Linked DNA regions of Macaca fascicularis. The protein of the gene in region 1 interacts with the protein of each later gene in a pairwise test. Links are inferred from orthologs where the notes say so. Each region holds a gene or a part of one and is shown on either strand. Other genes may lie near its edges.

Region 1 (3,745 bases):
GAAAGCTCTGTCAGAAACCCCTGTCTTCTAGTTGTTAGGACAGGTTGACAGAACTCATACTCCCCAGGGCAACTGGTTTCATGGGCTTTGGCCCCTTCTGGAGCCTTAGGGAGAAACTGGTACAGAGGAAGACGTTGAAACAGAGGGAGGAGGGAAGGAAGTGAGCAGCCGAAATGGAGGCACCCTTTCGACATCAAATGCCATCCAACAGGAGAGGGTGAGTCAAGGGGCACAGGCCCTGGCAGCTGTGGCCTCAGTCAGCCTCCACCCACACCTTCTATGCCCCTCCACCAAAACCCCTGGAGTCATGGCCACCCTAATGCAGGAACAGGAGGCAGAAGAGGTGTCTAGAACTTTGCCAAGTTTCTTTCCTACCGAGGATCTTGCTGTATGTAGACAGAGAAGCTTCCCCTCCACTGTCCCATCTCCCCTTCTCCCTGCATATCCCTGCTTGGAACCCTCCTGCATTCCAGGTGAGACCAGTGATTTGCCAACTAATCTGTCCCAAAAAGCTGGCAGTTGCAGGCACCCTCTTCCTTCATTGGTACTTGGTCAGTTCCCAAACTCCTCACTAGTCCACCTCATCCGTCTCTGCAGGGCCTGGATCTGTTATTCCGGCATTTAGGTCTGATCATGACTGTTTTGTATGCCTTCTCTCCTGTCTTTCTCCCCTCCCTGCTGCCCTTCATCTCATTGCTTCTGGATGGGACTGATTCCCTTCCTTCATCTCAAGGGCCCTCCAAACCTTGTAGTTTGGACCCAGGACATCCTCTTACTTTCCATATGGAGTGGAGGGTCCCCAGCGTCCATCCGTCTGTCCGTCTGTCCGGGAAGGAGCTGCCCAGCTACCTGCTGGCTCTGCAAGTATTTCTCTCTGTCTCCCTCCCTTTACCTGTGTCTCAAAACCTGTCTGACCAGAGCAGGTGGGGCCCAGATTAAAGGGGCAGGCCCCGCCCTGCTGAATCTGCCGACAAAAAAAGCATTAGAGGAGGATGTCGTCATTCTTTCCGAAAGTTGGGATGCAGCTGGACAAAGAGGTAAGTTCACATTCTAGGCAACTGGAATGTGTAGGAGCTCCCAGCTCAGGAAAGCAGAGGGAGAAAAGTGGATTTGTGGACCAAAGGGTGCTCGGAGTAGGCTGGGATACCCAGAGATGGAATTTGTACACTTATTCATTCAGTAAATATTTACTGGTCACCATTATTAGCTAGGAACTATTCTAGGCAGACACAGAGGAGAACAAGATGACAGTCAAGGTCTCTGCCCTTGAGAAGCTTATGTTCTATTGGGGTAACAGATAATGAAGAAGCCTAGCAACTAAATCAATTAGACAATTTTTATAGGAAAGACCTCTTTGGTAAGGTAATATTTGAGCTGAAACCTGATGGGAAATCAGGAGTATGAGTGTTACAGGCAGAGGAACAGCAAGTGAAAGACCAATGGATGGGAAAGACTTAGGCTGTTTCAGGAACAGAAAGAAGATGGGTGGCTGAAGCCAAGAGCATAGCGGTAGAAGGGCAATTTATGTTCTCATTACAATTCGTACACAGGCAAAAAACAAAACAAAACACAAAAAACAAAACAAACAAAAAAACCCCTTGCTTTTAAACTTAGGTTTAAGCTAAAACAAGACAAAGCAGTCACGCTCCTAGCTGTGAGCCCACCTGCCCTGATATCCAATGTGAGGATCAGGAGATAGAAACGTGAGGGACTAGCTTCTCATTCCTATGAGTCCTTATCCCTAAAGTCATTTGAGCTTTGTGAGGGCAGGGATAGTGTCTAGCTTGCTCACCTCTCTGTGTCTAGAATCCTGCACTGTGGCTGGAAAACAGCAGTTCAATAAATGTTACTGGGTGGTAAGAGATATGCAAGCTGGAAATCTTTGGGAGGGGAGCTGAAGGGCCAAGACGCTTGTACAAGTCATTTCTTCCAGGGCTTTACTCCTATGTGATGCTCGGCCCTTTCCAAGGAAACTTTCACATGCACTTTTTGTTTGTTTAAATTATGGGGGAAAAGGGAAAGCTGGAGTCACTCTAACCAGTAATCTGAAAGAGGCTTGGTTCAAACGGGGAGGCGGGAAAGGGGCAGAAGGATGGACCAAATGACCACTGTGGGACAAAGCAGTCACCCTCCTAGCTGTAAGCTCACCTGCCCTGATCCAGTTAAGCTTTGGCCGCCTCAGTGGGTACACTGTCAGTTCTCTGATAGCTTTGCCAATAAAGTTTTTCGCAAGGGTTTGGAGAAGCCGGAAAGAGGCCATGCTGCCCAGAGTTAGTTCTGGCAACTTCCCGGGAGGGAAAACGAGTTTCGCGAGATTTGGTAGCAGCAGGCCACTGGTCCGCAACTGTGCGGCTGCCATCGCGAGATTTGCCAGGCGGAGGAGGAGCTGTCGCGGGCAGCCGCCTCACAGCGATGGCGGCCGAGCAGGGCCGGCGGCGGCGGCGGCTGCGGCTACGGCCGGAGACGGCAGTGGTGGTGGTAGTGGTGGGTGGCGGGGGCCTGTGACCGGGAGCTGCCCCCGGACCCGGGCACCATGAGCCAAGGCCCCCCCACAGGGGAGAGCAGCGAGCCCGAAGCAAAAGTCCTCCACACTAAGCGGCTTTACCGGTGAGAGGGGCCAGGGCGTGAGAGCAGCCGCCAAGGGAAGTGGGGAGACGGCGAGGGGCGGGGCCTCCCGCGCGGGCGGGGCCCGTGTGTCGGGGTAAGGTGCGGGAGAGGAAGGAGGGTGCAATTTTGGAGGCGGGGCGGGGTCCCGTAGTAACTCAGGATGGAACTGAAAGGAGGAATTGGGTGGGTGGGAGGTTTGGAGGGAAGCACGTGGAGGAATCCCCTCTGCAGTGAGCTTGCTTGGGGCGGGCACTAAGCTTTGTGGAGTTCGGGTAATAGGGTGAGAATTGAAGGCTGGAAGGGTTGGGTAGGTGAAGGTGGGGTCATAGGTGTAGAAAAACCCGGAAGGGAACGATGCTTGGAATCCTGTGGGATTTACAAGGAAGAGTCTTGGACTAAAGTCCGTAGAGCTAGGCTTAGGTCCATCCTTTGCCACTCTCTCACGATGTGACCTTGGGCCTCAGTTTCTTTATCCTTAAAAATAAATATTTGAATTGGATGTGCTCTAAATTAGAGTCCCATACAGCTCTAATTTTGAGGAGTCTGAATGAGAAAGTCTTGGCCTGGAAGGGCCACGAACGACTTTGTGTACAGAGCGTTCTTGGGATCTGGGAGGCAATTCCAGGCACCTGGGGACTCCTGAGTCCTGCCTTCCTCCCAGCCTCATGACTGTAGTCTCTTGCCAGGCAACTTCCGTTCCTGGTTTTTGACTTCCATAATGCCACCCACGCTTCACAAGTCACATCTTCAGCCCTTCAGCCCTCTGTTAGGAACAGGCCCGAATGAGCTCTTCCCATCGAAGGTGGAGGATTTGTTGTGTAGGTCAGCTAGAACATGGGCTCCATAACTGGGTCAAAATAGGACGAAGCATGGAAACTGAGTTTTGTGCTTTCTACTACAGAGTAGAGTTTGGGGTTTTCATTTAGCTTGGGCTTTATAGAACACGGATGCTTGCATGAGAAGACGACCCTCAGAGCCTTGGCCCCGTTTTGGCAGTGAAAGAGTCAAGAGGGCATGTTGTCTTTTCCTCTGAGTAGGCATCCTGCCTTCTCTGGCTTTGTAAGCCAGAGGCAGAGGGGACTATAGGCTACTCCAAAAATAGAAAAGTGATTCAATCTAGCGGCCCCTGGGCTCCCAC
Region 2 (3,745 bases), on another chromosome or scaffold:
CAAGGAGTGAAAGGGAACCTGAGAGAAAGTGTGAGCCAGCCCAAAGTCATTGGCAGATTTGACCTCGTAAATACATAGAGATGGCTTTAGGGAAGGCACTAGGAAAGAGAGAAAAGAGAAGGAGACAGTCCTGAAAGTTGATCATATTTGGGTGAGTATCATTCTCAGGGCAAATTTAGGATCAGAGGATGTAGAAGGGGGAGTCTAGAGGGGTAGAGTGTAGACCACAGGGTGAGTGGGCTGATTTGAGGATGGGGAGACTGGGAGCCCACCAGTGACCAGAGCCAGCCCTGTGCAGGGCTGTCCGGACAGAAGAAAGCAGTGTCAGACCTGGAATCTGCCATCAGCAAAGCCTGCAATTGACAGACAAGCCCAGAGCAAAGAAGGAAGCACTGCACATCAGTAAGAGCTTGCCACCAGTGGGGACAGTTTCCAGAATCAGGAAAATAATCACTGGGGGCAAGTTTGAGGCTGGTACTAGATGTGTGGGAGGAGACGAGGTGAGGGAAAGAGTGCTTGAAGTTGGAATTGGTCCTTGCAGGGAAATGTAGATTTATGAAACCCCCAAAACTGATGTCAAAGCACCTCCTGCTTTAGGCAGAGTCCTCTCTGAGTCTACAGGTGCTGCCTCCAGAACCCCCTTCCTGGAGTGCATCCCTATGCATCGAGAAATTCTGCTGGGAAATGTGATGGTCAGACCCTTGGCTGCCTGAGAGGTTCAGGCTGGCAGAAGAATCAGGAAAGCCACAGGGCAGCAGGGGCAGGTGCCAGCAAGGAAGGCGGCCACGCCAGGAAGACACCCACGGTGAGAGGTGCAGATGGCCCAAGGGCAAGTTTGCTCAGCTCACCCAGCTTTGCTCTTGCTGGGGCCAAGAGGACTCATGTGCCAGGGCCAAGGGCCCTTGGGGGCTCTCACAGCTGGCTTATCTGGGCTTCAGTTCTGGAGGGCCAGGAACAAACAAGCTTCAAAGCCAAGGGCTTGGCTGGCACACAGGGGGCTTGGTCCTTCACCTCTGTCCTCTCTCCCTATGGACACATATAAGACCCTGGTCACACCTGGGAGAGCAGGAGAGGACAGCATAGCACTTGCAGCAAGATGGATGTGGGCAGCAAAGAGGTCCTGATGGAGAGCCCGCCGGTGAGTGTGGTTGCGTGTGTGTGTATGTGTGTGCGCGCGTGTGTGTGATGGGCCCTGCCTCCTCTATCCTCCCTGGCCTGTTTCCTTATCCAGATCCATTCACTCAACTAACCTAGGACTGTGGTAAGTCAGGATGGGGGACACCAAGACCACTAAGCCTGGGACCCTTGTGGAGTTGTTCGTGGGCCGAGAGCCATGATTGGGGTCGATTGAAAGGGCCATCCGTAGACAGCTCCGAGTCAGAAGCCATGAAAACTTCAGAAGTCAGGGGACACTTCACAGAGAAAACGACACATGAGCTGGAGCCAGAATAAGGAGGAGCTCACCTGGTGGAGAAGGTGGAAGGCATTCCAGGAAGGAGGGAGACTTTGTGTCACCACATGGAGGTGATCACTTGGGGAACAGAGAGGGGCTGACCATGACTGAGATGCCAGGGGCCTGGGGGACACAGCAGGAAGAGACAGGTGAAGCAGGCTCTCTTGGGTCCCTCAAAACTAGACCCTGCTTCTAAGCTTCTATGTGTCTATGGGTTTGTTAGAATCCAAGCCACCTCCTCCAAGAAGCCTTCTCTGATCTCCTCAACCCTTCCCTGTCTGTCCATCGCATTGACCGTCCAGCCCTAGGCGGCCGTGGGAGGGTGTCCAGCTTGTGCAGGGAGAAGAGGGGCAGCCTCATGACCTCATGCCGGTCTCCCTGCCTGCCCCACTGTGTCAGGACTACTCCGCGGCTCCCCGGGGCCGATTTGGCATCCCCTGCTGCCCGGTGCACCTGAAACGCCTTCTCATCGTGGTGGTGGTGGTGGTCCTTGTCGTTGTGGTGATTGTGGGAGCCCTGCTCATGGGTCTCCACATGAGCCAGAAACACACGGAGATGGTGAGAGGTGTGGGATGGGGCGGCTGTGGGCATAGGACATGCCAGACAGAGGGGCTAGGTGGGATGGGCGATAGGAAACTGTCCAAGGGGAGTGGAGGGGAGGAGGCAAGGGGCACAGCTAGAAGGAAAGAGGCACAAACCAGGTGGCAACCCAGCCCAGGCTTTTCCACAGGGCCCCTGCCCCACAGCAGGACAGCGGCTCCCCCCAGCACCTGGTTCCACTCAGCCTCTCTGAGCTCTCGGGAAAGAGGGAAGCAAATTTGAGTACAGAGGCCTGAGGATGGGGATGGGTACCACAGGCTGAGTAGCAAAGGGGAAAACCAGGCAGCTCCATGCCCTATCCCCAGGTTCTGGAGATGAGCATCGGGGCTCCGGAAGCCCAGCAACACCTGGCCCGGAGTGGGCACCTGGGTACCACTGCCACCTTCTCTGTTGGCTCCACTGGCCTCGTGGTGTATGACTACCAGCGGGTGGGTATGCCCGGACCTCCTGACCCTGGGACCAATGACAAGGCTCTGCTAGAGCCACCCAGCTGGGCCACTTCATCCACATCCTTCTCTCCCCCTCCTCCAGCCCTTTTGGCCTGAACCCCAGATTCTAGTATAACTCCCATGCCCAACCTAGAGGGAGGTGGCTAAGGACCTGGGTCAGGGAGAGAGCAGGGCAGGGACCCCCAAATCATCTCCAGCATTCTGTGCCTAGCTCCTGATCGCCTACAAGCCAGCCCCTGGCACCTGGTGCTACATCATGAAGACAGCTCCGGAGAGCATCCCCAGTCTTGAGGCGCTCACTAGAAAAGTCCAGAACTTCCAGGTGTGTGTGTGGGTGAAAGGAGTGGGCTGTCTCCCTCCCAGGGCTGCTGGGAGGAGCGTCTGAATGGTGGCTATTTGTCACCTGTAAAGCATCGTTCCTTGTTGGCTGCCTGCTGACTGCCCCTCTCCCTATTCCCCTGCACGACTCCTTCCCTTCCCACCCCACTGCCAAGCTGCTGGGCTCAGCTGAGTCCACTCACTACCTGGTGGCTTCTGACTCTAGCACAGCCCCTCTTTACTGGTGAGGAAACTGAGGCTCAGAGAGATTGCCTGATATACCTGAAGTCCCACAATAAGGGCTGCACACGGGATACAAACTCACTTCCTAGATTTCAAATGGAATGCTCTCCGCAGGCCAAGCCCGCAGTGCCTACCTCTAAGCTGGACCAGGTGGAGGGGCGAGATGCAGGCTCAGCACCCTCCAGAGGGGACCTGGCCTTCCTGGGCATGGCCGTGAGCACCCTGTGTGGCGAGGTGCCGCTCTACTACATCTAGGACTCCTCAAGTGAGCAGGTGTGATCCCAGGGTCGCTGGGAGCGCTTGGGCCACCTGCCCGGGCTGTGGAGGAGCGCTCGCGCTGACCAGGCGCTGGGGCATCCACTGAAGCAGGGTCATCCAGGGAGCTCAGGGGAGGGGAGGCTCGCAGAATGGTACTTCCCACTCCCCCGATCCTCTCTGTCCATCTTCAACATGCCTTTGCTTCACAGGGTCAGTGGAAGCCCCAGGGGGACAGGAAACGCCCTGGGCAAAGGGTCTTTTGCAGCTTTTGCAGACGGGCAAGAAGCTGCTTCTGCCCACAACGCAGGGACAGGCCCCGGAGAAATTGGAGTTTGGGTAGAGGATGGGAGCGGGCAGAGGTGGTGCCCAGGGGCCCTGGAACTCCTGCCACAACAGAATAAAGCAGCCTGATTGAAAAGCAAAG

Evidence for each region.
Region 2: the proteins of TMEM79 (region 1) and SFTPC interact in binary tests that used the Homo sapiens proteins (3 or more experiments, as listed by UniProt). The two-hybrid records come from large-scale screens. The link is inferred for Macaca fascicularis from reciprocal best matches to the Homo sapiens genes TMEM79 and SFTPC.

What each region holds. Positions count from the first base shown.
Region 1 is NC_088375.1:104,793,422-104,797,166, forward strand, and holds the start of TMEM79 (transmembrane protein 79), read right to left. Parts: upstream 2,291-3,745; 5' UTR 2,149-2,290; intron 877-2,148; exon of another isoform or gene 777-876; intron 1-776. Other genes in the region: nonsense-mediated mRNA decay factor SMG5, read left to right, coding at 2,534-2,607.
Region 2 is NC_088382.1:25,233,095-25,236,839, forward strand, and holds SFTPC (surfactant protein C), read left to right. Parts: upstream 1-1,066; 5' UTR 1,067-1,096; coding exon 1,097-1,138; intron 1,139-1,231; exon of another isoform or gene 1,232-1,261; intron 1,262-1,755; exon of another isoform or gene 1,756-1,819; coding exon of another isoform or gene 1,820-1,852; coding exon 1,853-2,011; intron 2,012-2,358; coding exon 2,359-2,481; intron 2,482-2,713; coding exon 2,714-2,824; intron 2,825-3,177; coding exon 3,178-3,318; 3' UTR 3,319-3,336; intron 3,337-3,530; 3' UTR 3,531-3,744; downstream 3,745-3,745. UniProt on the Homo sapiens protein: Pulmonary surfactant associated proteins promote alveolar stability by lowering the surface tension at the air-liquid interface in the peripheral air spaces.